Linked DNA regions of Mus musculus. The protein of the gene in region 2 interacts with the protein of the main gene of each other region in a pairwise test. Links are inferred from orthologs where the notes say so. Each region holds a gene or a part of one and is shown on either strand. Other genes may lie near its edges. The genes, in order: Eef1a2 and Abtb1.

Region 1 (14,893 bases), on a different chromosome or scaffold from region 2:
AGCCCTTCTGACAGGCCTGCTCACACAGACGGTCTGGCTTCCACAGGGATACCATGATGAGCAAGTGGCTGGGAGAGGGAGAGCTCTCCAGCATCTCCTGGAAGCTTGTGGGTGGAGTGGCATTATGGGATGGCAGAGAAAAGCCAACAGTCATGCTCTGTGTTGGAGTTAAGCGTGAGCGTGATATTCGCATTCCCCTCCCTTTGCTCGTCTCATATGAGGCTTTGGTTTCTGTTGGCCCATGTGACCTATATTTCTCACTCCTGGACTAGGATTGCCTCCTATGAGACAGGCACCCTCCACCCTGCAGGCAAAGTGTAAGTCGGTTCAATACTCCTATCTTATGTCCCTAGCTTGTGGCTGAGTGCTGGAGGGGGTACGGAGTGGGAAAGGGATCCTATGGAAGGCTGAGTGAACAAATGGTAGGTGGGAGGGGCCACTGTGGAGGTGAGTGGGAGGGGTGACTGAGTAGACGGATGGATAGGGTGGGTAGATAGAGCAAGAATCAAGATTCCTTGTTGATATCCTAGTCAGGGTTTGGAGCAGAGTAGGCAAGCGCCTGCCGCAGTGAGCCCCAGCACTGAACCCTCACTCACCCCCAATCTTGTACACATCCTGCAGAGGCAGACGAAGGGGCTTGTCAGTGGGGCGGGTGGGGGGCAGGATTGTGTCCAGGGCTTCCAGCAGGGACACGCCGCTTGCATTTCCTTCCTTACGCTCTACTTTCCAGCCCTTGAACCATGGCATCTGGGCAGTACCAAAAAGGAAAACAAAAGGGTGCCAGTTATCACAGAGCAACTCACCTGACCTGACCCTCAGCCTCCGATCTCCTGGACCTGCCTAAGGGGTAGCCTGGGAAGGGAGCTTGACCATTCAAGCTGAATAGCTTGCTCCTTATCCCTCCTCTCCTTCCTAGCCTCACAGGGACCCTGAACAAACACAGCTTAGGAAAGAGGGAAGTGACAAATCAAGCAAACAAAAACAGCTTCCCCAGACTGCTGTCATGCCCCCACCACTTACAAATGAGACCACTCAGCCTGGCCTGATTCCCTAATTCCCCTGGGATCTGATCAATCATAGCCCTAGACAGGACAAGTACCAGGGGAATGGGGACCCAAGTCTAGCCAATGACCATGCCATGGATAAAATCCACCCTCTGCCCTTACCCCAGAGTTCTGCTCCATACCAAACTATCTCCAAGCTCAGGTCTAGCACCACCACCACCACTACCACCACCACCACCACCACCACTACAATGGCCTCTCTGGAGGATGACTTCAAACCCCCCTGACAGAGCTCCTCATGGTCCACCTGCCACAGACAAGAAGTAAATCCACCCAAGGGGCTTTGTGCACTCCTGCCTTAGTATTCATGGCCAAGTTCCAAGCACCTCAGGTCAACAGATGACTCTCAACGTATGGATGGGCATAGCCCCAGAGCACAATAGAGCAGTAGGGAGCAGAGGAGTTTCTGCTGATCAGAAGTGTCCAGGGGATTCTAAAGTCCTGCTAATCATACATCAGCAAGAACAAAATGGAGTATCCCCTGCCCGCCAAACTCTGTCCTTATACCACCAGGCACTGGGTCCCCAGCTATCTCCAGAGAACCTAGGCTTCTATCATTTTACTCACAGTGGCAGCTGCAAAGCTGGCTATAGCTGAGTACCCACCTTTCTAGGACAGGGGTTTCCTCTGGATAGACCAAGGTCTAGGTCCCAGGCTGTCTCTGAAAAATGTCTTCCTCTTTACTCCCAAGTAAGAGTCCCAACCCAGAGCTGCAGACTGTCTAAGTTTCAAGCTTCCACATGACCTGCCCAAACACAATCCTCCACTCTTCAGGCTAGCCTCCGGACATGCTTCCTTCCCAGATACCAACCCACTTCAGACTAAAGGGGGAGGCAGCTGAAAAAAACCATGTGGCCTTACTGATTCTGAATAGTTTTTTGTTGTTGTTGTTTTGTTTTTGATTTTTTTTTCTTTTTTGTTTTTTTGAGGCAGGGTTTCTCTGTATAGCCCTGGCTGTCCTGGAACTCACTTTGTAGACCAGGCTGGCCTCAAACTCAGAAATCCACCTGCCTCTGCCTCCCAAGTGCTGGGATTAAAGGTGTGCATCACCACACCCGGCCTGAATAGTATTTAAACCCAGGGCAGTGACTTCGGAGAAATAAAAACTGTTTTTCCCCCATAGTGAGATCCGGGATCCAACAGGCAGTGTCTGTAGGGATGACTTGATGAAACCATCATTTGCCAGAAAAAGGGCCTTATCTTCCTCTTTTGGCCTCTTAAGGAGGCTGAGTCAGAGAACTTCAAATGCAGGTCCCTTACTAGGAGGTCTTCATCACCACAGAGCTCACAGAAACCTAGCAAGACCAAAGGGAGCCTGGCCCACCCTGGCCTGGAGCCTTGGAGCCCTGGGCTCTTGAGAAGGCCAGCACTGTCCCCACCATACCATCTCCACTCACATTAGGTGAAGGCTCCAGCATGTTGTCACCATGCCAGCCCGAGATGGGCACGAAGGGCACCGTGGCTGGGTTGTAGCCGATCTTCTTGATGTAGGCGCTGACCTCCTTAACAATCTCATCATAGCGCTTCTCGCTGTAGGCTGGTTCCGTGGAGTCCATCTTGTTGACACCCACAATGAGCTGCTTCACACCCAGAGTGTAGGCCAGGAGTGCGTGTTCCCGGGTTTGCCCGTTCTTGGAGATGCCCGCCTCAAACTCGCCCACACCGGCTGCCACGATCAGCACTGCGCAGTCCGCCTAGCCAACAGGTCAGACACAGTGAGTCCCCACCCGGCCCTGCCTTCGACCTGGCCCTGCCACCCACATAATGGGGCCTGGGCAGTTATGCTGGGGGTAGAGATTCAGGGTATCTACCTCAAGGGCAACAGGGGAATCTTCCACCAGACCCTGAGTCAAGGAGGCCCAGACTGGCCATCAACTCCACTGCCAGCAGGGTATGGTCCTTGGATGAGTCACTGATCCCCTCTGGTTCTGTCCTCTCTGCCTGTGACTGACTGACTGCTTTTCTACCCATATGTCACTGTATCTACTCTGGGCTCTTCTATAAAAATCTATGTGTGAAAGATATGCCTACATGTCACCCTTGGTCTGTCTGCTGGCCCCAGCAGAGGTAACCCTGCAGGCACCCGGTCTAGCTGAGATATAAACACTGACTCAGTTCTTGAGGGACTCTATGCCCAACAGGATGGAGAGGACATGGAGATGACATGGGTAGAGGTCTGCCGAGACAGAAAGTGCAAGAGACGCTGACACCTGAAGAGAGCTCTTGGGCCCCGAGTCACTGAGCTAGGTGCCCTCTGTGCACACCTGGGATGTGCCTGTAATCATATTCTTGATGAAGTCTCGGTGTCCTGGAGCATCGATGATGGTGATGTAGTACTTGGTGGTCTCAAACTTCCAGAGGGAGATGTCGATGGTGATGCCTCGTTCCCGCTCGGCCTTCAGCTTGTCCAGCACCCAGGCATATTTAAAAGAGCCCTTCCCCATCTGGAAGGGTAGAGGCACAACTCAGGATAAGACACAGGACTCTGAGGTCACATCCACCTGCCATGCCTGCCCTGGCCCATGGGAGCAGCCATGGAGAAGTGACAGTTGGCTTAAAGCACTTTGAACTGAAGACCTCTGTCCCATCTCTCTGGTGTTGATCCCCAAACCCTGCTCTGCCTCACCCCAGGCTGCCCAGATCAGCCAGCCCCACCCTCACTCCCTTCCTCAATGGTTGTGGACATGCAAGTCCCCCAGCAGAGGGCGTGAGGGCCTGGGAGTTGCCAAACTATCCTTGCCACCTGAGGCTAAGGCTCTACACCCAATTAGAGATCAATTATCTCATTAGGTTTGGGACTGTTAAAAACAAAACAACTCTCTAAGTTATTTTTTTAAGGGAAAATTTTAAAAATGAGTAAATTGTTCAAGGTTTTGAGAAAATCCCGGTTCCAGCTCTTCCTGCAGCTGATGAATAACTCTGAGGCATCTCCCCTCCCCACTTCCACCAAAACAGAAGTAGAAACAGCCCCACCAAGAGCAAGGCTGGCTGCTCTTTGCAAATCTGTGCCAGGGTGAGACTCCTTGTGAGACTCCTACAGCCTGGACCACGGTTTGTGGTCATCGATGCTCAGCTGAACATGACTCCCTACCAGAATCTCACATGACATGTTTGCTTCTGCATTCCAGGGATGATGCCCAGCTTGGAGGGGCTACCCAGACAGAGCCAGACAAAACCCAGCTGGGACCTGATCCAAGTGGCCATCAAACCCTCAGGTCCCTCCTACCTCCTCCCCTCAGCGCAACCCCTAAAAGGTAAAAGCATCAGGCCTAGACACACAGAATTGTGGCTCAAAGCCCCATATACACACAGGAGCAGGAGCTCTGCATAGACAGTTGATGCCCTCAGATCTGCCTTAGCCCTTATCCAGGAGCCAGCTCTTCTCGGAATGAGCAGGGTTAGGGGCAGAGAAGAGAATTCTGTTACAACCACTGCTCATTTGTAGGTCTCAACCAGGAACAGGCTACCAAGACCCCCCACTCCAGGTACCATCCTGGACCAGCAACCCTTCTCAGCTTATCTGGAGAAAGTGGAGCTGGCAAGCCTGCTGCCCATCAATCAGCTATTAATAGCATCCTTGAGCCCTGGCTGTTGCCAGACAAGCGAGGACAGCACCACATCCAGCCCAGCTTCAGCCCTGGGGAACAAGAGGATAAGGCTTGAGGGTCTCCTGGCACTGGCCCACTGAGGCCGAGTCCAGAGCCTTCGGATGGGCCTGGGGAGGGCACAAGTTCCCCCTCCCTCAGTATGAGACAAATCTAGCAACATTCTCAGAGGGAGACTGCTCTGTTCACCCCTCCCATCACCAGGCACCCATATCCCCTGCACTGAAGGAGGTAAACTGAGCAATGGCAGCACCAGGCCCACAGTGCTCACCTCTGCTGCCTCCTTCTCAAACTTCTCGATGGTCCGCTTGTCGATGCCACCACACTTGTAGATGAGGTGGCCTGTCGTGGTGGACTTGCCTGAGTCCACGTGGCCAATGACCACAATGTTGATGTGTGTCTTCTCCTTGCCCATTCTGCCTGGGTGAGGGAGGGGCTGGCACTGTGGGGGCTCTGGTTTGGGGTTGAGGGTATATGCTGGGCAGGAACTCTGTGGAGTCAGGGACGAGGGAAACAAGTGATTAAGGGGCCCAAAGAGAGTCCAGCAGAGGTACCCGCGCCATTCTTGTATTGTTTGGGAGCTTGCCCTGACCCAGTCTTCTCCTGAGCCAGAATAGGGAAGAACGACACCCCCCCCCAACCCTGTCCTAACCCCATTCAGCCACATTTCATTCATAAGCCACCTGTTTCTCTACCCTATACCTTAGCCCAAATGCTCCGTTAGTGTGTAAGTGTTTGGGAAGGTGATTTGGAGGCAAATTCCTTAGGGAAGGGTTAATCAGGTCTGGACATCACAGAGCAGCAGACTGAGTGAAGCTCTGGAGCAGCCAGGAGCCCTGTGATGAGTCACTGTGCCCAGCTCTAGGGTGCATTGTCCTTCCTGTCCTCGATGCCACCCCCCCCTTCACACACACACACACACACACACACACACACCAGGGAGGGACACTGCCCTACCCCCATCTGCTGCCACCATGAAGAGAAGGCCAGCACTCCTCAGCCCCTCCACGGGCAAGGGCGCCATCTTCCTCCCTCTGCCCACAGGCTGGCAGAGGAGACAGCTGGATGGTACCCAGGCATAGGCCCAGAATAGCTCAGGCCCTCCCCACAGGCAAGGGGCAGCCATGAGGGCCGAGAGGTGAATGTCCTGTTCTAGCCAGAGAAATAAAAATCCCACCTGGCCCAGCTCAGCAAGTGCCCTCAGAGATGCCCTGACCCTCTCCCCTACTATCCAGTCCAGGTCCTGTGTCTCAGTACCCGCGCATCTCAGAGGTCAACCGAGAAGCTCAGGCCTGTTGGGGTGGGGGGTGCATCCGAGGGTGGGAGCCACATAGGACGCGATAGGGGTCCTCAGATTTCACCACCTCCCCCGCCCTACTCTGACAAATCACGGACATCCCCAGGGCCCCAAACCACCGCGCCAGCACTTTCACCGACCAGCCTGTCAAGCCCAGCAGAGCCCAGACAAGCCCCAAGGTCAAGGTGACAGCATGATGGCAGGTTTCAGGAGAAGGCCCCCCTCCACTGTCACAATTGCCTAAGGGACTCACTACCCGACTGCCACGGGGACCCACCATGCCCAGTCTAGAGACAGCCTCCCTCCACCCCCAGCCCAGGGGTGCAGCCCAGCTAGGTGCCGCATATTCCCCTCTTCCCCGGGCTGGGTTCCCAGAGAAGCGAACCCTGATTGAAAACCTAAGCAAGGGTCTCAGACCGGGATGTGCGTCCTTACCCAGAGCCGAGGACTCAGTCAGAAGGACTGGTGGCGCCGGCGCCGGCGGTTTTATCTCTCCAGGAGGGGGTCCACCTATTGACGGTGCCGGCGCAATGCACTGCGCCCCTGCAGTACGGCAATGCGGTACCGGAGGGGGGAGGCGGGCGCCGAGCGGCTGGCAGATGGGATGCGAAAGATGCGTGGACGCAGGGGCCGCGCACCCACGGACGCGGGCCGGCGTAATGAGGATCCGAGAGGACGCAGCTGCAATGATGCACCGGAGCGAGGGAGAGAACCAGTGAGCGAGAACGCAGACCAGGAGAGAAAAACAGGCAAAAGGGCGGTGCAGCGCGCAGAGGTGGGGGCAGGGAAACAGAGCCAGGAAAGGAGGGGCAGGGATGGAGAGAAGCGAAAGAAACAGTAGAGAGAACTGGGGTAGCAGAGACAGTGGTTGCTGGAGAGCAGGGGGGAAAAAAAAGGTACATCCAACATAAAGATGTCCCCAGGAAGGTGGAACACAATAGGGAACCAGCAAGTAGACTAGGAGAGAAGAGGCCCAAGCCCAGGTCAAGATCCCTGCAAGCCTTGATGTGGGCATCCATTGCTGGCCCTGCTCATGGTTGAGTCCCGGTGAACATGAAGCTCAGTTTCCAGAGGTTTTCCACGATCCCCACCACCCCTAGCACAAGTGCTTACTCACATGGACCCTACATGACAGGCCCTTGAGGCAATCAGCCAGTCCAGCCCGCAGCCCAACCTTCTTATGAAGCCCTGGAAAGAGGTTTTTGTCTACCTATTCCCTTAGGTGTAGGGAATTTACAAAGCCCGTTCTCAGATGGTCTTAGCTAAGGTCACCAAGAACATCCAAACAGGGTTCAGATCCCCACTCTCCTTCAGGCTCCATTGGTAGGAAGCAGGGAGCCCTTGAGATTTCTAGAAAGATTAGGATATCCCAAATAGACCTTAAGGGGGTTGTGGCCACCGTGTATCACCAGGGGCTTCTTCAGAGGTGCCTATCTTGTCATTTGACCCAGACATTCCCGTTTTCCAATACTGCCACCTGTCCTAACCCAACCAGTCTTTGTGGTTGCAAGTAGGAAGCAAAGGTTCCTTGAGTATTTATGCTGACTGACAGCAGGCCTGTGCCTATTCCTTCTACCCTGGTGTAGAGTAGATCTAGACATAGAAGGCCCAGGTCAGGGCCCAGCACCTCCTACTGAGAGCGCCTGTTAGGGGACCCTGGAGATGGGTGCCCAATTAGGGCAGCTATCAAGTATGAAGAGAGAGTAAGGTGAAGCCTAATGAGGGTCTGTCTAGCAGAGGGCAGCCAGAGGCTAGGCAGGGCTCTCAGATGACTTGGCACTTTTGAAGACTGCTGAGACCGTCAACTGGGAGCCAGGAATTAAAAATAAACGCCTGGCAAGACATTAGCATTTACTCCACCCACTTGTCCAACTCATCTCTCCCTGAATGCCTTCCTTCTTGCATGGAGATGACTGGGCCTGGTTTCGAAATCAGGAGGTAGAGTGGGCTCAATAATGAGGTCCAAAACCCAGCATCTTTGTGAATAGCTATTAGTCCTTAGCTTTGGAGTCGCCTCCTCTGTCTATCTGGGCAGCAGTGAGCCAGCAAGGCCCAAGGCCAGGAGCTTACCCATCTAGAGGACTGACCCCTAATGACCAGAGGTCATGTCCTGCCTGAAACACCTATACATTGACCTACAGGAGGCAGGTCAAAAGTACCTCCCTGTCATTAGGACATACTTTGCCTCCACTGCAAATCCCTGAAGCCTTTGTTGGTATGAGAGACCCTGGGAATAGGCAGAAAACAGATTTTTAAGAGGTTAACAGTGTTGAGCAACAACATACTCAGCCAACATGATAGGGGGCCTTGAGGCCAGCTGTTCCAAGGAGCCACTAAGCCAGCAGCACTGAGCAATGGCCAGGCACTCAATAGCGCCAGCAACGGGGCAGCTATTGCTTCAATCTGCATGTATCTCCCAAGTTGGGACTGAATCTCCAGGAAGTAGTGCTGGTATGGGGCTTTCTATGGGACATTTAGGTCCTGAGGGCCCCAGCCTGATCCTACCATAAAAAGTGCCTATGGATGGTTCTCCTGCCTTCCACTGTAGAGCCTAGTTGAGCACCTTGCCAGAATTTTGGGTTTCTATCCTCTTCAATTGCATGCTTAGCAGCACTTAAGCAATAAAGTCTGCAATACTGAAAAACATCAGGTTCTATAAGTAGGGCTCAGGGACCCCAAAACCTATGAGGAAACTGGGCAAAACTAAGCTCAGCACCTGAGACCACACCAGTGGGTAGCTCAAGGCATTAGAACTAAGACAGTGTAACTTCCAGACAGAAGCCTGCGTTTCACCTGTGGCCACAACCTCTGCTACTACTCATGTTCCTTCAGTAGCCCTGGTCACGGTGGCCCTGGGAAGCTGCCAGAGGTGGGGCAGGGCAAGCAAGGAGAGGCTACAGGAAACCAGGATTCTTCCTACTGGCAGCATGGAGGACAGGGTTCAGGTTCTACACCTCCTCAGCCTCTCCAGGAACCCCCACCTGCCGTCTTTAAGCTGTTTAGGGAGATATAGCACCACCCCCTTTGACTGGTGGGGGTTTCACAAACGTTGGAAATGAAGATCCAGCTAAAATTAACCGTTATCAAGCTGCCAGCCCTGCAAATAAACCCGCTTCCCATTGGCTGGCGGTGATGTCACTGTCAGGTTAATAATAGCTGCAGTGCCCAGCTAACCACCTGTGCGGGTGCCTTCTGTGAGCTATGGTCAGGACAGCCTCCTGTAGTCAATATCCAACAGATGTATGTCACTGGGATCAAGTGGCTTTTAAAGGGTCTTAGAGACAGGATCAGGGTCACGCTTGGGACATCTTCTAGTCTGAGAGTTTCCAGGAAATCTCCACCCCGATTTGGACTGCTAGATGCATTCTGGTCTCAGAGCACAGTCCTTGGCCTTAGAGCCTTTTACCAGCCATCTACCTGAGCCTGAGTCCTAGGAAGCCTCCCTGGAGATCAGCTTCCAGGAAGATACCAGGAGACTGAGTGTGCTCCTGAGGCAGCAAGCAATAAACTGTCTGTGATGAGGGGAGTTCTGGGGCCTCTCCTTGACAACAATTAGTGCCTTCCTGACAGGAAAACCCCTGATTTCAGGCTAGCCAAGACCCCAAATACACTATCTCCCAAAGCATGAGGTCTGTGTGTCTAAGGCATCCCCAGTCTGTCAGGGAGCCCACAGCCACAGGGAGCTGTTGCCATGGTGAGCGGCAGCTCACCAGGCAGGAGGCTCCTCCCTCCTTCTCTAGGGAGCCCAGCCCTACAACATCCAATGAGGGAAGAGCTGTTCATCTCTGAAGACCAGTAAGAGTCTGACAGGCACTGTGGGACACGAGTAACTTTCCATACTCTGCAGGCTGAGAGGTCACACAGCAGACCAACTGCTGGGGTCAAAGCAGGGTGCTGCCTGCAGTAACACCCAGAAACAAAGGGGAAGACCAGGGGTCTTCAGTCACAGTGCAGGGAATGGCCAACCTTAGGAGTAACCACACTGGTCCAAGAGAAGCCCTGGGAGGCCAGCATCCCATCCATCACCAAGAGCCATACCTGGGGGCAAAGGGACACAGAAGGGTTGCAACATGGAGAAGGTGCAGTCCTTTTTAAAAAAAGATTTATTTTAAAGTATGTGTATTGGAGCCTGTCGATGCATGTGTACAAATGAGACAGATATTTGTAAATTACCCCATGTTGTTGTTGGAAGTATTCCTCCAAAAGAGGTACATGTTCCTAACTGCTGAGCCATCTCTCTAGTCCCACGCAGATCCTTTTAAACGTAGGTGAACATACATGGGGATTGCACGGGGAGGACCATATGTTTTGAGCTTCCAGAGAACTCACCCTTGGGAGCAGCACCCAGATCACTCCCTTGCGCCCCTCTGGGTAATAGACACACCTCAATGGCCAACACCGTGAGGACTCCTGACACAGACTCATTTGGGGTTGGTTTTTTTTTTGTTTTGTTTTGTTTTTAAGATTTATTTATTTATTTATTTATTTGTTTATTTATTTATTTATTATATGTAAGTACACTGTAGCTGTCTTCAGACACTCCAGAAGAGGGAGACAGATCTCGTTATGGATGGTTGTGAGCCACCATGTGGTTGCTGGGATTTGAACTCCAGACCTTTGCTCTTACCCACTGAGCCATCTCACCAGCCCCTTGGGGCTGTTTTTAAACAACACACACTGGAGCCTCCAACCTGCATCCTCTGTCTGGCTTCCTTCCCTGCTCCACCACCAGCTTCCTGTTGCCATAATAGACACCTGACATGAGCTACTTATAAAATATCCTCTGCCTGCAGCTTTGGAGTTCCGTGGTGAACTGGCACCATACCAAGTCAGCACACTGTGGCAGGAATACGCCAAAGAATCAAATTTCTCACCTCGTATCCAGGAAGAAAAAAGAGAGAGGCTTGGGTCCTGCAATTCTCCTCAAAAGCACACTCCATTAGTCCTAAAGACCTTCTTAAAGGCCTTTGCTCTAAAGAAACCACTCTCTCCCAACAGTCCCACCCTAGGGACCAAGCCTTCACAAACACATGAACCTTTGAAGGTATTCACAATCTACACTACAATGTACATTATCAGGGCTGTGAGATTCAGCCACACTGGATTTCATTTATTTTTGTGGCTGAACACTGTTCCACAGTTTTAACCTGCTACCAGCAAGGCTGCCATAAACAGCTGCACATGTATCTTGTATGAGACTTCTGAAACAGAGGGTCAAAGATTTTGGCATACTGTCTCCTGACTCTAAACTCAAGCCCTGTGATGGTGGACAGGATGTGTGTCAATATCCCCATTGGACCCAGGCAGAATGCATTCTCCAAGCAACAGTGACCAGTCACGCAGCCTCTGGCAGCCCTTGATGACTGACTTCTCTTAATGCGGCACCACCCTCGTTCCTCATATATCTGGTTTCTCTTCTCTGTACATAGAGCTTTGGGAAGTGACTCTGGGTTCTATGCTGGCCCTTGTTCAATCGACATTCAGCTAACAGACTTACACAGACTGCTTTCCAAGATGGCAGTGCCACCCATGTGACTCCTCCTGACTGCCACTCAGCATTCAGCCTCCATCTTCTCCTAAGGCCTCCAAAAGGAGGCTGAACCTGTGCTGAATCTAGAGCAGGCAGTACTCTAAATTCAAATCCTTCCTCAAGTAAATAGATAAACTAACAAACAAGGAGGCTCAGCCATACTGGCTGGATCCCCTGTTGCTCAATACTGACTATTTTCTAGAATTTTCTCTCTATTCAGCCACGTGGTAGTTTCAGCCTGGGTAAAGTTTCCAATGATTTCACACCTTTGATATTTCCCTGTCTTAGGTTACAGGACTCTGAGACTGGAACGTGAATGCAACTGGTACCTCAAGGCTCTGTTTTGTAATGCACATGACAGATGTTCCTACTGGATGGGAGGAAACCAGGAAGGCACCTACATTACTAGGGGGCTTCCAGGCTGTCAGCCAACAAGAAGAGTTCAGTTTTCCTAGTGATCAGTGACACTGAACATTGTTTCATGCAATGGCTGGCTGCTTGTAGATCTCTGGAAAAAGGACTAAAGTCCTTGATCCAGTTTAAATGCAGCTATTTATCTTTTTTTGTGTCAAGTCTTGAGAGTTCTTTATAAATTATGGACACAAGTCCTTTGTCAGATTCATGCTTTAGAAATATTCCCTTCTAGCCTATAATATAGTTTTTCAGTGGGTTTTCCCCATCGTGGCAGGGTACACCTGCAGCGTCAATGGCTCCAGGAGCTCCTGGGGGGGGGGCTTTCAGGACCCCAGTCTCTTAAAAAGTAATACTGATGACACAAACTCCGTTTTTAACTTTGATGTAGCCCAGTGTGTCCATATTCATCTGGAATGATGTGTTGTCTTTACATCGGCTGGTCCTAGTCACACTGCTTGCCTGTGCTTTCCTCTAATAGACTATTTACTATTTATGAGATGGGTGTGCTTATTTGTTTTTACATGAAGAATGAAATTGTGACCCAATATTTGATACTACAGGACACAGTAGGCTTAGTTATTTTAAAAACCCACTTTATTAATGGTTGTCAAACACTTTGACCTCTCTTCTAGCCCACTGTCCAAAGGTAGGGGAGAAAAGATAGTAAGTAGCACAAGGGGATGTGGACCTGTTTAGAAATAGCTCTTTGGGGTGATCTGAATCTCCATTGTCAGAAAACCAACAGTCCAGTTCCAAAGTGTCACCAAACACGAATCAGTACCGGCAGCACAATCCAGCAGAAATCGGCTTGAATCAGTGGGAGCGACCAGAACCAGCAGGAATACCAAGAGCCGTTCTCCTCCGTGCCTCTCTCAATGAAGTGAAGATTGGCGAAGAAGTCCAACAAAGTTGCAAGGCAAGCGATGCAAACACCCGTCACTGACAACTGAGTCCTACTTACCCTCTCTCCAAACATCACCTGTCCTCTCACCGGTCCTGCTTCAGCAAAACAGCACATGAGTCTGCATCACATGACACAAGCAGAAATTTCCACTTCAGGACAGCATCTTTTTTCAGAGTGTCCCGACATTTTGGTTTTATAATCTGCCACGCTTTGCTAAGCATGGTGCTTTACATAAATAGATGGCTCGAATGGCTGAAGTAAGTATAGGACTGTTGGAATCCTATACTAATCCCAAGCTAAAATTCATTTAATGATTTTTAAAAGATTTCTGTATAAGCATACAGTGTTCTGTCTGCATGTATGCCTGTAGGCCAGAAGAGGGCACCAGATCTCGTTATAGATGGTTGTGAGGCACCATGTGGTTGCTGGGAATTGAACTCAGGACCTCTGGAAGAGCAGACAGTGCTCTTAACCTCTGAGCCATCTCTCGAGCCTATGGTTTTTTGTTTGTTCGTTTGTTAGTTGTTTTTGTTTGTTCATCTTTGAGACAGTGTTTCTCTGTGTACCCTTGGCTATCTTGGAACTCACTCTGAATACCAGGCTGGTCTCAAACTCAGAGATCCACCTGCCTCTGTATCCCAAGTGCTGAGATTAAAGACATGCATCAGCACACCCTGCTTGATTCTGTGACTTTCTAAATCACATCACTCAAAGGATGTAATTTGCAACAATGTTTAAAGAAAGCAAACTTTTAAAACTCAGGAAAACTGCTGTGCACTGGTAGTGCACACCTTTAATCTCAGCACTTGGGAGGCAGAGTCAGACAGATCTCTGAGTTTGAGGCCAGCGTGGTCTACAGAACAAGTGCTGGTTCAGCCATGGCTACACAGGGAAACTCTGTCTCGAAACAACAAATAATAAACAAAAGTGTAACCACAGTTATTCAGCTCATTAAATACTCTCCGTTTTAAATCTCTAAAACTTTTGCTAAAGCGTAAACTTTATTTCAGAACCTGTAAGTGTGGTCTTAAAAAGCTGTTAAATTCCAAGCCCCCCCCCAAAAAAAAAAAGCCAGCTTAAAATCTGTAACAGAAAAAGGCATGAGCCTGATGGGTCACCTAGGGGAACCATGTTCTTGCCATCGTCTTGTCTGATGACCTAGGCTCACCTTGGAGTAGGTAACAACCCTGTGGGCTTGCCACCATCTTGGCTCATCAGTCACACTCAGCACAAATGTGTAGAACATTCTTAAGAATTTTGGTTTCTTAAAAAAACACACACAGAAATATGAGACTATGTTTTTGTTTTAATCCCAGGTGAGAGGAAACAACAGTGCTGCTTCAAGGCAGTGGACTGTGATTTGCCTGATGCTCTAGAAGAGGCGTGGTTTTGCCAGCTGCAGATAGTTCCTGCAATTGTGTGACATTTGGAATGATGGGAACTTTTCAGAGGGCATATAAATGCTAGGGCCCTGAGAGGAAGGGTTGGTAGTTGGTGGTCATTGAGAGGGGTTGGTTGTGGTTTGTCATGCTCAAATAAGAAACAAGAAGAGAGAAATTAGATTCAGGGACACTCTCTCCCTCCCTCCCTCCCTCCTCCCCACCCTTCCTTCACCTATCCATCCTTCTTTCTCTACTATCTAGTATTAGGGGATGAAACCAGAGAAGTAAAAGGTAGGAAAAAAGAAGAACCCACAAAGTAGCTAAGCCCAGCTACACAAAAGAAATTCATTTACAGCAGTGTTTTTCAACTTCCTAAAGCTGTGACCCTTTAATATAGTTCCTCATGTTGTGGTGACCCCCAACCATAAAATCATTTTAGTTGCTACTTCATAACTGTAATTTTGCTCCTGTTATTAGTCGTAATATAAATATCTGATATGCAGGATGGTCTTAGGCAACCCCTGTGAAAGGGCCATTTGACCCCTGAAGGAGGGAGTCGTGACCAAAGGTTAAGAACAACTGATTTACGAGACAAGTTTGGAGGGGAGACCAACACTTATATCCCACCATACAGTATTCTGTATACGCTGTCAAATTTAAACCTAAAGCAAGTGAATCAAAACAAGTTTAAAGTAAA
Region 2 (14,737 bases):
GGTGGCTCACAACCACCATAAAGAGATCTGACATCCTCTTCTGGTGTGTCTGAAGTCAGCTACAGTGTACATAGTAGTAAAAAATAAATCTTTAAAATAAATTTTAAAAATAACAAAAAAAAAATTTAAAAAGAGTTGCCATGGTGTCTCTTCACAGCACTAAAACCCAAACTGAGACAGAAACCAATCTGTTAAACAAAGCAACAACAACAACAACAAAAACCCAACTACTATTAGTGTTAAGTACTCATGCTCATTTTCCTATAAATAACCTAAAGACTCTGAGATAGGAGCAATGTGTCACCCTAACTAGCTAGTTTGCTTTTGAAGTATGCTTGGCTGCTCTGAACAAAAAAAAAAAAAAAAAAAAAAAAACAAACTGTCAACTCAACTACCTTGTCAGCACCAGCCATCTGGAACATTCCACAGACACCTTAAGGAAACCATGTGAGGCACATCTGATTGTCCCAGTGGCTGAGGCACAGCCTCAGTGAGCTAGGGCTGTCCTGAGGCTGGGTGAACCCTAGATGACCCTGCAGCCATTCCCACCTAAGCCAGAGGAGGAGCACACCCCGATGTGGTCTAGCAGACTCTGGCTTGTGCTACAAGGCAAGGCTATGCTTGGCCCAAACAGCTTTTCTCAAGCTGTATATATAAAGCAGGCTGTTCAGGCCTCCACTCATAAGTAGCAGGGAGATGCCCTCCTGTGCTCCCCTCCCCTGCTGGCGTAGCGTTAGTCTCAGGAAACATCTTTAAAGTGGTCTGTCCTTGCCTACCATCAATGGTACAGGCTGAGCAGAACAAAAATTGGCAGCCAAGTGAGGGCAGAAGCATCCATGGCAGGTGAGCTGTCACAGGCTGAGCTGCAGAAGGGGCAGAGCCAAAGGAGCAGCTGACCAGTTCAAGAGCAGCCAGGGCAGAAATGGGAGCAGCAAGCGAAGACTGTGGAGAATGGAGACTGAGGAGCAACTAAGCCTGAAAGGAACCAGGGAAGAAAAACTATGGACCCTGGTCACTGAAAGTTTCCGAGAACAGTCTGCAGGGCCAAGAGTCCCAAACCTTGACCCAAAGCCAGTGTTAAGGACTGAGGACTCCATTCTTGCCAGGCTACACAAGAATGCGACCCTGGCTGATGCCAACAGCTGAGGAGTCAGATTTTTAAGGTGCACACAAGACGTGCCGCTTACAGGGTTCCAGGACCTGAGAGCCAAGGCCTGCAGGAAGAGTGGGCACCACCTGCTGCAGCCAAACATTAAATAACAACAGTCAAGACCGACACTAGACGTGTCTCCTTCCTTATGGCTTCTAACTGGAAAGATTCAGAGCAAAGGGGTCAGCTAGCTGATGGGCGGCCACACTAGTAGGACCTACATGTCACCCAGGCCACTGTGAGCTAAAGCCCAGAGTGATGAATCCCCAGCCTGGTCACCTGGAGTCCTAAATCTCTCATTTCTGCAGCCTGAAGCACCCAGATCCCAGCTCTCCACAGCCTCTGGCTTGACCAGGCCAGCCTCGTGGGTCAGCCATCAGTGGAGAGCATCTCACCTGCTCACAACCACCTTGTGGGCAGAGCAGGAAGGACCCCATTGCCTAACCAGTAACAAGGTTGGTGTTTCTTACTTGCTGTACCCAGGAGGGTTTCTGCCTCATGCTAAGATGGGGAACTGGGCACATGCGTGGTATTTGGGGAACTCGTGTCCACTTTGACCCATGGCCTGGCTCCTTGGGGACCAACCTGATTGCCATCGCATCCATGAACCTAGTGGAGAATATGGATTCCAGGGCACTGAAAATTCCTTTGCTCATGTTACTAACGTCTGATGAAAGATGGAAACTTTCTGACTTCAAATAACATCTATACAGAAGATGGACTTGACTTAATAATTAATCACACATGGGAAGAAATGCATGGCAACTTGAAACTTTCCCTTTACCTCCTGAAGTTGAAGTCCACACATCCTGGGCTGTGTGTGGCCTGTGTCCCCATCCTCCCTGTCCCTGTGGTTTCAAAATACAAGCCTAAAGATGCAAGTCACTGTCACACCCAGCTTGGCTGGCACCTCCCCCCAGGAAGCTCCTTCGGATGCTTCACAAACACCCTGGCTCACCACAAACCAGATGTGACCCTAAGTCTCCTCAGGTGACCACACTTAAATGCTCGTCCCCCGGTTTGGAACTCAGACATGTAAGAACAGGCACAAAGGCAGAGCCAGTGAGACCCCACCGCCCATCTTGGCTTCCCTTCTGCTTGTGGTGGGCTCAGTGGCAAACTGCCTTCCACCTTTGCAACCCTCTGCCAGCAACCCTGACTCGAGGCCACCTGTCCTAGCTGGCAGCTTCAGGTCTTTCCCCAAAAGATGAACACACAAGAGCAAAACAAATGGAAATGCACTGGTGAGGAAGAGGAAAATAATCTAGAAAGTTCTGGGACATGACAAACACAAAGGTGGGGAGATCTATGGCACTGCAGGACAACATGTAGACTGACAGCTGTCTAGCACTGGGGACAAAGCAAAGTTCTACTGGAGTGTGGAGGAGGGGTGTGGTCCATTGGCCTGAGGCATCCAGGGAATACCATAGTCCTCTGTGTCTCTGTAGTTAGGCCATGGAGTCACACCGGGTGTGGTTAAGTGGCAGGGATACAGGCCTACTGGCTCAGATCAGAGAACCTCTTCTCCAAGCCTCTGGGTCACCCTCCATGGAGTGTCCCGCTAAGAATGCCCAAGTCCCCTATCCACAGTCCCCAGCTTCCTCTCCTCACCAGCTCCACTCCCCAAAGCCTGCCCCCCCCCCGCAAGCTGTACCCCAACAACAGGCTCAGGTCCCCAGAGTGAATTCAAGCTTTATTGCCACACACCCCCTACGTCCTGTCCAGCCCTGTATGCGGAAATAGCCGAAGCAAGCCAGGGCTGGGTGAGAACCAGGAGGGAGCAGGTAGGACGCTGGGGGAGATGGGACTAAGTTCAAAGCCTACCGTACCCCAGTTTTCCCTGAGTGGTGCCTGCCCCAAATCTTGGGGCTTCCTTGTGCACTGGAGGAGGAGGCTCATCCCAAGGACATCCTGTGAGGTCCCCTCTGCCCATTGTAATGCCATCTTGCTGCGTGCACACACTGCGCATGCCTGTCACCGTGGCTGCCCTGGCCACGGAAGGGCTTAGCAGTCCAAGCCAATGGACACGAGCAGGTCCTCGAGTGCCCGCAGTCGCTGCTGTGCCTCTTCAATGGCACTGTATGTCTGGACCGTGCTGGCCACATGGAAGCGGATGTCATCGACGAGCGGGATGGAGTCTGTCTCCTGCCGGGCCGCTACAGCTGCCGCCTCTTCCCGCACGGCCTCCACGAAATCCTCCCGCTCTACCAGCTGCAGAGAAGCAGGCTCAGCACAGGCTGCATCCCACCCTCTCAGGCTCCCCCTCTCTGCACCCCTGCCCACCTTCTCTATGACTTTGGCCATATACTCGGTACACTGGTCCTCCAGCCGGGCCAGCCGGAACATCTTGGCTATGCGCCAAACACCCACCACACTGTCCTCCTCCAGCAGCTGGGCCAGGCTGCGGCCACACAGCCGCTTCAGGCCAGGCAGAAGGTACATGTCAGCCACACTCAGAACATCGTAGGCCAACTCAGGAGGCAGCTGTGACACGAAAAGGGACAACAGGACACAGGGGATCATCAAGGGCTCCCAGGGTCCAGGGAGGAAACCCCAGTGGAAATACAAGAGACTCACATCTCTGGAGCCTGGCCCAGGTCTTTGGGGGTGCAAGGGGCAGAATCAGCTCAGGAGAGGGGGGTTCCATGCCTCAGTCAGTGCTTAGGACTACAGGCCTTTTAGGAAAAGCAGTGTGGGCTCAGGCATAGACCTGAGCTCTCCCCATCCAGCTGTGGGGTCCCAGGCAAGTCCCTTCACCTCTGTATCTCAGTCCCCTCATCTGTAGAGGATTCATGCCAGCCTTGGAAGACTTGAAAGAAAGTAAAGTGAGCTGGAGGTTTCTATTCCAGCCCACAGCTTGGGAATGGCTCCTTCCACTGTGAAAGACCACACAAGTTTGAGGAGGAGACTGCTAGGCCTTGGCTAAGGTCAAGAATCCAGCTTCAGACCTTGGGTGGCCTAGGGACTGAGCAGAGGGGAAAAAAAAATAGAGGGACTATGCCACCACACTTCTGGATGTCACTCTGCCACCTAACTATTCTCTGGTCGTTTGGTCATATGCTCAAGACTCAAGGAAACATACTATTCTCCATCTTCTGGGGAATACACTGAAACACAGAGCAGGGATATAACTTGTCTAAGATCACACAGCTCCCGAGACTAATCTACTGTTTGACAATGTTCAGAGGCCAGTCCACACTCTGAGCTATTAAAAATGTTCTTGGGGTACCAAGCTTCTTCCAGAGAGAGCTTGCGACACAGGATTTCAGACTCAACCTCAGAATGAGTGGCAGGCCATGAGAAAGGAAGTGAGGGGAAGTGACAGAAGGAAGGCTAGTGACAAAGCCTAATACAGAGGGGGCAGGTTGGTGGGAGCCAGATGGCCAGGACTGGGGTCACCAGAAAATGATGTAGGGACACAGATTCCTGTAGTTCCATCTCAGTAACAGAGAACAAAGAGGATGGGGGAGCCACAGCCTGGGGGTCAGGGCCACCATTTCTACAAAGACCTTTCCTGGAGGCTGAACAGCCCTGACAATACCATATGGCCCACCAGCCTTAAAACATTACCTTCCTAGGGAAGATTTGTGGCAATGCCCTGGAAAAACCAGACAAAGGGGCACCTGGGACCCCAGCAAGCCACCTCACCCCTCAGACCCAATGGAAAATACACTTCTCTCCTGTATAGTGCCCTGCTACACTGCCATGAACACATACCAACAGAGGGAACCTTTGGTACTGTCTAAAGCCACCCACAGGCCTGGCTCAGGAACTCTGGGACAGCTAAGTGCAGGAATGACCCAAGGACTGTGACAACACTACGGCAGACGGCCCAGGGCTTGTTCACCACTGCCCTCCTGCTGGGCGCCACTTCACCTCGGTATGGTCACTATATACGTAGTACAACACGTGAATGAAGATGTCCGGGGAGATGTCATGCAGGGTGACAACTGGGGGATCTCCAGAGGCTGCAGGCTCCTCACTCTCTTGAAAGTGGTCATCCAGAAGGGCCCGGAAGTAGTCACTGCGGCCACAGAAGAAAGCCTGAGGAAGCAAGGTCACAAAGGACCAGGGCTCGAATCTGCCCCAAGGGGCCAGCCCAGGGCTTGAGCAGCGCGGCCAGGGGTGGGACAGGTACCTTGTAGCAGAGGAAGCTGGAGTCAGCCACTCGGAAGCAGATATCGGGGCAGCTGCTGAAGCCATCGGGACATGGGAAGGGCAGCTCTCCAAGGTCACCCTGGTATAGGAAAGAGACGACTCAGAGCAAAGCCGTTCATGAAAGGGAAGTAGCTTCTAGGTTGGCCTAGGAAGGGAACCCAGCTCTGTGGAACCTGCCCCTCACAGCCCCATCCCTAGACACCCATCATGCCCACCAAGCTGGCATGCCCTTCAATACCCGCAGCTCAGATGGCAGGGCACAGTCAGCTAGCAGGGCCATATCTGCCCGTAACCGGGGATCTGCTGGAGGAGGTTCAATAGTCAGCACCTTCACACACGTGCCAGGCTTGGAAGCCACTGGGGGGAGAAGACGGCAGGGACTTAGAGAGGTGGACCAGAGCTGCAGGCTGTAACCCAAGACCTTGGACTGAGACCCTGTACACACCAAATTCAGACACCTTCTCGCACTTAGCCTCCAGGTCATCCAGCAGGTCCCACAGCTGGCACTGCTTGGCCAGGCGCTCACAGTCACTCACGTGTTCTACACCGATGTCCAAGCGGCCTGGGGGATTGAGGAGGCTGAGTCAGGACCTGAGAGTGACTCCTACTCAATACCTTGGTTTTCTCATCCGGAAGGACCTAAGACCTGCTCAATTTGTAGATGGGACCTGTCCTCTCCAAACAGGTTAAGTCATGCTGGGCACACTCCTCCTCCCCAAAGGTGACATCAGCTCTGGGCCACCCTGGGTGTGCTGCTGTCCCAGCCCACGGGGTCGGTCAGTCACCTGTATACAGGTACTGCAGTAGAGCCCCAAAGGCCACCGGGTTGATCTGCAGGCAGAGTAGAAAGGGAAGGTCAGAGGCTACCACCCAGCATGAACTATCTGTTCTCCCAGAAACTGGCACTCTCTCCCAAGGCAGATGGACACACCAGGGGGTGCCTGAGAACCACGACGCTCTTGCCCTTCCACTTGGTGTCCAGCATGTTGGCGAAGTAGGTACTGCGAGCACCGAGGATACAGCGATGGGCCCGGAACGGCTTTCCGTGTACCACAAAGACCACATCGCTGTGGATGCCCTGTTCCAGAAGCCTGGGAAAAGCCAGGAAAGGTTGCATCATCCTGACAACTGCTGGCGCACCAGGACCACTCAGCAAACCCACCCACCAGAACCCACTGAGAGTGCCCAGCAACCCCAGCAGTACTGCAAGCTCCACCCCCAGCTCACCGCTGCAGGAAATCGTCATAGTAATCCCGCCTCCTGCAGGACGCAGTGACCTGTTTGTAGTCTCTCAGTGCACGGCGAATAGGGTCGCTTAGCGCTCCGTAGAGACACCGCTCTCCATCAAAGGTGTTGGCCTCACAGCGGGCTCCTACAAAGCAATGCTCATCAGTCAGAGTCAAGGGAACACCTAGTCTGGGGAGATCTCTGGCCTCCCCAGCTCCCCAGAGGCCCTTCCTTGCCACAGAGGCCCAGGCAACCCTTCGGTCCTTGGGAAGGCCAAGGCATACAATCTGTGCACTTAGATGTAGGCATACTCATGAATACACATGTAAATATTGGACTATATGCAGTTAAGGCCAGACTGAGGGGCTGGCCCTGTAAATAGCCATCTTGGTGACTAGCAGATCCCTGCCCCAACTGAACCTAGTGGAGCCCATGCATAGTTTATTATATGACAGCCGGCATTATTACAAAACAGAACCAAGGGTGACTATGGCAGTGGCAGCCACATGGGGAGAACTGTGAAGTGAGGTGGCTAAGCACAGGGACTTGAAAGAAGCGGGAGATGCATAGATCTAGGAAGGAACTCCAGTCTAAGCAGGAAGTACTGCAACTGAGAAGACCCTGAGGTAGGAGATGGGTAGGTCTAGTGGGGCAGCCAGCAGGTGGGAGACCCAAGGAAGGCAAAGTGAGAGGAGGTCAGAGTGGGTCTCACAATGTAGCCCTGACTAGCTTTGAACTTAAGATAATCCCTGTCTCGACTTTTCTCTCTCCCAATAATTTAATTGCAGGTGTGGGCAACCATGCCCACGTGCTTTTATCCCAAACACTCCCATCAGCTTTGCTGTGGAAAGATCCTCCTGCCTGCAAATATGGAGATCAGAGAGTCAGTTTAGCAGACCAATGGTGGTACAGTACAGGAGACAGCCCCAGAACTGGCCTGGGTGTCAAGGGTAACGTGAGAAAGTGGATAGAGGGTTAGAGAGTACTATGTGTTGACTTTAGGGAGTTAACAAGAAATCAAGGGTGCATACAAACATGGAGCAAGGTCTCAGAGCTTACAGGCAGACCCTGACCCTCTCTCACCATTAGCCAACAGGTAGCGCACCAACTCCTCATGCCCACAGAGGCAGGCATAGTACCTAGGAAAGGGGGAAGCTGTCAGTAGGGTAGGCCCACCCTGCCCACCCAGCTACCCCACCGCTCACACTCACAAAGGGGTGCTGTCCCACTTATCCCGCACGTTCACCTCCACGTCTCGCTGCTCCAGCAGGTACCTGGGCAGGAAGTTCAAAGCCTGGGTCAGAATTGCTTCTCATCTGGGAGAGAGACAACCAGGAAGGGGAAGGAGGCCACATCTCTCTGGGCTAGGGAATGCCTCTGAGAAGGGTAAGGCCTGGGACTACACAGGTCTGCAAGGGTCTGCAACTGTGAGTTGGGTGATGGCTTCATGGACAGAGGCCAAGCCCCAGGTTCAGAAGGCTGAGAATTTGGTCTTTTAATATCTGGGAGAGAGAAGGTGATGGGGCCCCTAATTCAGCCTGGGGAGCCAATGGCAGGGAAGTCAGAAGAAAGCTGATGCAGGCACTGGGGGCGGGGAAGGAGGGGAACAGAACAGATCTATGGAAGAAGTGGAAAAAACAATTGATAAAATGTTGAGGAGAAGAGGTCATGAACCAGAAAGCGATCACTGGGACATGGCAGCCCAAGGAGGCTATCTGAGGCAAGACCTGAACTCTCAGAGCTGCATTCAAATTGAGGGACGGATCATTAACTCTGAGGTGGCATCTGGTGTCGGAGAGAGCTGCAGCTTGGTCACATCTGTTGAGGACCAGGGGACTTGGAAGGAAGGGCCATGGGAGAAAGGAGTCTATCAAAGAAAAGGGTCAGGATCCTTCTCTTCCCTGCCTGCCCACGGAGATCACGGTCTCGGCGCCAGGCTGGTAACTGGCTGCACCAGCGGCGCCTGCGCCTCTTGGAACCTCCACGGAGAGGAGTCGTTTCCCTGCACCGAGCTAAGTAAGGGACCTAGAGCCCGATCTCCCTGACTCGGTCAGCTTCGGGAGCCCCACGGCGCCCAACCCCACACCCGTGCCCGATAAGCCCTGCGGACGCCTGCCCGCCTCCTGCACTTCAGGTTCTCACCGCACACGGCCCACGTCCCCTTTCCTGCAGCTGGCAAACAAGTCGCTGGTATCCATGGCGAAAGAGACTGGACCCCCGGCCGAGTGATCTCGGGAGTCGTCTGTGCCCGGCCGGATGTAAACACTCACCGCCCCGCCCCTCGCGGCACGGCCTAGCTATGCCCGCCTGCGACTCCGCAGCGGCGCCTGCCGCCCGGAGGACCGTCCGGCCCGAACCCCGCCCTCGCATCCAGAAGGCCGCTCCCCAAGGCCGCACCCAGTAACCTTAACCACGCCCACTTAGCCTCTGGGGACTTCTAGCCTTCACCCCGCCCACCCGTCTAGAGGACAACTCAATTCCCCCAGGTTCCGCCCACTCGCCCGAAGAATAGCTCACTACCAAGACCCCGCCTCCTCAGAAGAGCTTCACCGGAAGAGCAGTTCGCTGCAGGCCCCGCCCACATTTCTTGGGATCCGTTCTGAAAACAGCACCTCCCACAGGCTTGGAACGCTTGTCAGTCCTGAGTCTAGCTCGGTTCAGGTCCCGCACATCAGGCCGAGGCCTCGCCCACCAGGACTTTTCCCAGCCTACTTCAGGCTCAGCCCACCCGGCCTGGTTCCACCCAGATGACCTTATACTCCCTACCCTCCGCCCACATATCCCTAACCACGCCCACAAACTCCATGAAATTCCCAGCCCACCCGTCCTTGGCCACGCCCAGCCAGCCTCCCTTGCCCCACCTACTCCTCCAGGCCCATCCCACCCACTCCCCGGAGTGCAGCCCTCGGAAGGCAAAAAACAGGCGTGGAGGCGGAGCGGCCCGCGCGTCTTAGCGGCTTTAATGGAGTCCTGGCGCGGGGAGCGCGCTGGCCTCGGGCAAGCGCTCGGGGCCGGGCAGGGCGGGGTGGGAGCTGCGCCGCGGTCGCCTGCTGCGGTGGGGAAGCATAGTGGTCCGCGTGGAGGACCGGGAGGGGCGCGGGGCCGTGGCGTCGGGCAGTCTCGCGCCCGTGGCCCGGCGCTCACAGGTGAGTGTCCTCCTCGAACACGTCCGAGTCCTCAGGGTCGCGTTTGCTGCCCATGAGCGCGCTCCAGCTGCTCGGGCCGTTGATGGCCCCACCGTTCAGGCTGGGCTGCTTCTCCTGCATCTCCGACTGGCTGTCGCTGGCCACGTCCAGCGTGGGATTGTCGTGGCAGCCGTTCTCCACGAAGCGCAGCTCCTCACCGTGCGACTGCAGCAGCAGGAGAGAGCGCTAGGCGCGCACAGTGGTTGGCCACGCCAAGCCCCCAGGGTACTACTCCCTTGGGGCCCAGGATACAAGTGCCTGCAACTCAAACCTAAACCTCTGCAGGTAAACCCTGTGACCCCCTTGGTGTCACTTGATCCCTTCCAACAGCGCATTATACATGAGACAGCCCACTCAAAGCATACGAGATAGGGCAGAATGTGCAGGGCCTGCCCCCTTTCTCTTGTGCAGGTTGCAGGAGCCTTTGGCTTCTAGGACTGAGGGGAGCAGCTGCTCTCAAGCCTTGCAGAATGGGGCACTGGGGTTAGGAAGAGCTGGAGGAGAGGAGGGATCCCTTGGTGAGACTTAACTCCCCCTCACTGTGTATCTCCTCGAAGACCAGGCTCAGAGAGGGTAGATGGTGGCACTGAGCACAACTGAGTTGGTACAGGTTTCTAGGTGAGGCTCTTGGGTAGCACTGGGTGATACTAGCCACACTCTGCCCTACAGTCCTAAGCCCTCCCTGGCCTACTCACCACGTGTTTGAGCTTGGGCATCCGGCGCTGCCAACAATTGTAGAGTAGGCCAAGCACAATGATGATGAAGCAGATGACACCAATGATCACCAGCACTACAAAGAGCGTCCCGTAGTCACTGCGCACCTGGGTGGCTCGTGCCTGGCAGCTGCTGGTGGTGGAGTAGTTCTGGATGCCAATCTAAGAGTGGGGGTATCAGGAAAGCCCTAAGAGCTAACATTCCAAGGGTGAGTTAGAGCCCCTGACAGCCCTGGGGCCTGGACCTGCATAGAGGGGCATACCATTCTGTCCCTACTGGTTCATCCAAGAACACTTCCAAGCCTCTCCCAGGGTCCACATTCTTGGCTCCTTCACTTCCTCACTGTGTTTCTACACCAACACAACTTTGAATGCACCAATTCTGGCCCTGCACATCACTGAGACGTGATGACAGTCACGGCCCAAATAGATGGGGCCCCACCCCTGTCCCCATCAGTTTCACAAAGCAACATGGCATCTGGGAGACTTGAGTTCACCAAAGGCAGAGGCCTGAAGCAAGCTTCATCTTTAGGCATAAGGTAATGTCACCCTAGCCATCCATGCTAGGCCCCGCATCCCTGGAACCTCTGTGGGGATGCCAACTGCAGCCCACAGCTGGGGTCTCTAGCTTCTTCCCTTTCCCAGTGGTAAGATCACAGGCGGCATGTGCCTCCCTACTGCAGGCTGCTCTGGCTGGCTTGGACTCCCTCCCAATGGGAAAGCTCCCTACAGTCCAGCCTCAGGTGAAGGGAGGGAGCCGAGGAAGGTGAGTGCCATCAGTGAGCTCTGGAGCAGGGGCTGGGCTCCAGCTCCTCCCTGCATTGTGTGGAACCCTTGCAGGTGCCCTCTGTCCATCTGTGTTCCTGAGCCCAGATTTGGAGATCACGAAGAACCTGGACGAGGGGAAACAAGATAGGCCCCGCCCCACCAATGCTGCAGGGGAACCTGAGGGGTGGGGGATGTCAGGAACTGGAAACAGCCCTCCACAGTTAGAGGTGGCACTGATCAGATGTGGTGTTCTGGCTCCTGCTGGGGATCTAAAGTTCCACCACGAGAGCTTTGGGAGTCACTCAGGCAAGGCCCCTGGTAGCTCTGGGCTATCTAGATCCCCAGCTTTGTGTCCCATAGCCCAGCAGGGGCCAGACCACCACATCTGATCAGTGCTACCTCTGACTATAGAGGGCTGTTTCCAGTTCCTGCATCCACCCCACACCTCAGATTCCCCCGGAGAAGCACTGGTAGGGGCGGGGCCTATCTTGTCGTCGTCCCCCCCCCCCCCCCCCACCGTGTTCTTCATGATACTTCAGATACCATCCTACTTAATCCCCTCTTTGATGGTCGATCGCTCACTGTGGCCTGGGGGTGTGCAGTCCTTTTGCTCGGGTGGTAACCTGCACCTGTTCTTTGTGTCTGGGGATGGCCAGAGCCCTGAGACACACCCCTGTTCTGGAACAGCAGTAAGTTTTTCCAGGCACTTTTGGAGAGTCAAGAATGGTAGAAGATGCTGCAGTGGCTGCCAGGTCAAGTCCCTACACACTTACCTCCTCCAGACTCCTGCGGATGCCACTGAGCATGGAAAGGACATCTTGAGTGGGTACCACGCCTGGAGGAAAAACGCCATCATCACCACAGCACCCTGAGGTGTCTCCACACCACCCAACCCTTCTCCTATGGCAGAATGCCTGAGCCGCCTCTGCTGCCCTTGTGCTTCTAATCACAGGGAACCTCAGGGCCCATGTATGTCCCCTGCTGGCCTGCTTCCCATTGAGTTGACCCCCTGGGAAACTATGAAAGGCATGATTTTAGAAGTCACCTCTGCAGCCCAAGGATCCCGCTCTCATAGAGTGTGATGGCCATACCTGTCTCCTCATCCCCAGAACCCAGGTATCACTTCACCCAGAGCCCTGCAGTAGAATGCCTGTTGGGTCTCCTAGCTTCACAGCCCTCCCTGTTCTTTCCTGAGCCTCCATTGCAGGCCTGTGGCGGGACACCTCCCCTGTCTGCTCACCCTGTTCTCCTACAAGGGTCATCAGCAGGTGTTGCTCTTTCTCACTGGGCTTGCTCAGAGAAATATGCCAGTCTCCACGATGGCCACTGCGGTGGCGTGGCAGTACCTCCTCCACCAGAGCTAGGAGCCGTAGTCCCCGGTGCCGCCGAAATACTTCCTAGGGATTCAGAGGAGCCAAGCTTAAGGTTGGATGGTAGCTTTCATCCCAGATCCCAAAGGCCTAGATGGCCCTCTCCCCAGCCTGGTCGGCCCTGGGCCCAGCTGAGAGCAGGGCACAGGCAGATACAGCTGATTCACTTCCATCTCTAAATACCATGGTAAAGGTGTGAGCCTGCCCCAAAGTCAGTCGGGTAGAGGGAACATGGATCTGTCCACCCTTATCATGGGGCAAAGTATCCAGCGCTGGAAACAACAACAGTAAGTCCCCATGGCCACCAGAGAGCAGGGAGGCTGAAAACAGCAGGCTCCTCTGCTGGTCATTCCACCATGTCACTGAGCCTCGGGAGCAGTGGGAATGCCCTTACAGCAAGGGACTTGAAAAACCCATAGAGATGACTCAGAGTACCCTGGAACTCGCCTAGGGAGTGGGGTGGGTGTAGGGTGAGGTGGCTTCTTTTCCCCCCAGACTCTACCCCACTGTTTGGATGATCATGTCAAGTATAATTAAAGAATGTAACAAGAAAACAAACCCAGACCTCCACAGGAACTCTGTGGCAGAGAGAGGCCAGGCTGCTGCCACCAGGAGAGTCCCAACCAGATCCCTCTCCTGCATGTCCAGCTCTCTAGACATGTCAACAGGCCACCGTGGGTGCAAGCCCAATGCCTTCCTGTGACCCCCGAGGCAGAGATGAACTGCTACTCTTGTTGGGTTCCTACCTAGGATAAGGACCTACCCCCCCCCCTTGGTGGTCAACCTGAAATCCACCAAGCTGACTTTTATGGTGGGCTTGCTCCTTGTGACCATAGCAAAAGCCAGGTGCAGCTCAGGTCTAGACACTTTAGCTTCCCAGTCAGCAGTTCTGTCCCAAACATTCAAATCCCAGGGTCAAGTGGTCAGCGTTGTTACTGATGTGAGGACAGGGCGGTGTTCTACCTGCCTGCTGCTCGGCCACATGTATGACACCCTTCCCTGTATAGCGACAGCCACCTTGTTCCAGGGAAAGGATGGGATCCCACATCCTGGGGCAAAGATGCTCCCGGCATCTAAACTCCAAGGTCAGATTGGCATTTGCTACTTTGTCATTTTGTGTCTGTGCCTGCTGATCTCTGCCGGCTCCCTTCCTGTCTCCTAGATCCTAGATAGGAAACAGGAGAAGCTGGCTAGCCTACACTACTCTTGGCGATGATCTCAAGTGCAAAGTTCTAAAACTGTAGCTGCATCGTGTAAAGCCGTCTCTGGGGGCAGTGGCACATTCCTCCCTATTCTTTTTTATCTGACGATGAGGGCTCTGCGTGGCCCATCACCTTCAATGCACAGTGTTCCATTCTCTTCAAACATAAGTCAGAAAGGAAACCATGGACCGCTGGATGGGAGACAAGTCTACATACAGCGCTCGGGAAAGGATACACCAACAGCAAACTCACTCCCTGCCTGGAGAAGATGGAACATCTCTCCTCTGATTTACCTTCTACCCCGACATGCTGGGGATGAACCCAAAACTGTGCTGAGCAGCACCACAGAGCCACACCCTAGCCCTGGAAGTTCACGTTTTCAAGAGTAAAACTGAGTGCCTATGATCATGAAGATGTCTTAATGAGTACCAGTGTTCATGCAAGCACATTAATTATAGACACCCAACCTCTCCCCTGCCTTGGCTTCCAGAACACGGACAACTCTTCATACTTCTCGAACAGTCCAGTCACCTCAGGAGGAAGGACCTAATGTCCAGAGCCACAGTCATAGGCTAGCTTTAACTGTCGGCTTGATATAACCTAGGGCATCTGAGAGGAGGAGACTCCGCTGAGGAATTTCCTGAACAGGTTGTTTCCTAGACATGCCTGTGAGGGATTATCTTATTAATTGATGCAGGAGGGCCCAGCCGCTGTGGCCTGCACCTTTCCCTGGGCAGATGTTCCTGGACTGTATGAAAAGGCTAACTGTGACCCTGAGGGCAGGTCACTAGGCAGTACTCATTCATATGGGTTCTGCTTTTCATCATGCCCTGACTTCCCCCAGTGACTGACCATGACCTGGAAGTGTAAGCCAAATGGCTGCTGTTCTTCAAGTTGCTTTCTGCCAATGTTTTATCACAGCCACAGAATAAGACGAGGACACCATCTCAGTCACATGGAGGAG

What was found.
Region 1: the proteins of Abtb1 (region 2) and Eef1a2 interact in binary tests that used the Homo sapiens proteins (3 or more experiments, as listed by UniProt). The two-hybrid records come from large-scale screens. The link is inferred for Mus musculus from reciprocal best matches to the Homo sapiens genes ABTB1 and EEF1A2.

The regions. Positions count from the first base shown.
Region 1 is NC_000068.7:181,150,323-181,165,215, forward strand, and holds the start of Eef1a2 (elongation factor 1-alpha 2), read right to left. Parts: upstream 6,694-14,893; 5' UTR 6,402-6,693; intron 5,160-6,401; 5' UTR 5,085-5,159; coding exon 4,941-5,084; intron 3,509-4,940; coding exon 3,329-3,508; intron 2,759-3,328; coding exon 2,462-2,758; intron 748-2,461; coding exon 597-747; intron 1-596. UniProt on the Homo sapiens protein: Translation elongation factor that catalyzes the GTP-dependent binding of aminoacyl-tRNA (aa-tRNA) to the A-site of ribosomes during the elongation phase of protein synthesis.
Region 2 is NC_000072.6:88,833,092-88,847,828, forward strand, and holds Abtb1 (ankyrin repeat and BTB/POZ domain-containing protein 1), read right to left. Parts: upstream 8,845-14,737; 5' UTR 8,734-8,844; coding exon 8,678-8,733; intron 7,810-8,677; coding exon 7,747-7,809; intron 7,675-7,746; coding exon 7,619-7,674; intron 6,681-7,618; coding exon 6,536-6,680; intron 6,400-6,535; coding exon 6,240-6,399; intron 6,140-6,239; coding exon 6,094-6,139; intron 5,871-6,093; coding exon 5,754-5,870; intron 5,666-5,753; coding exon 5,547-5,665; intron 5,388-5,546; coding exon 5,289-5,387; intron 5,195-5,288; coding exon 5,027-5,194; intron 3,635-5,026; coding exon 3,434-3,634; intron 3,362-3,433; coding exon 3,155-3,361; 3' UTR 2,823-3,154; downstream 1-2,822. Other genes in the region: Podxl2 (podocalyxin-like protein 2), read right to left, coding at 9,676-9,906, 10,416-10,595, 11,975-12,036, 12,442-12,598. UniProt on the Homo sapiens protein: May act as a mediator of the PTEN growth-suppressive signaling pathway. May play a role in developmental processes.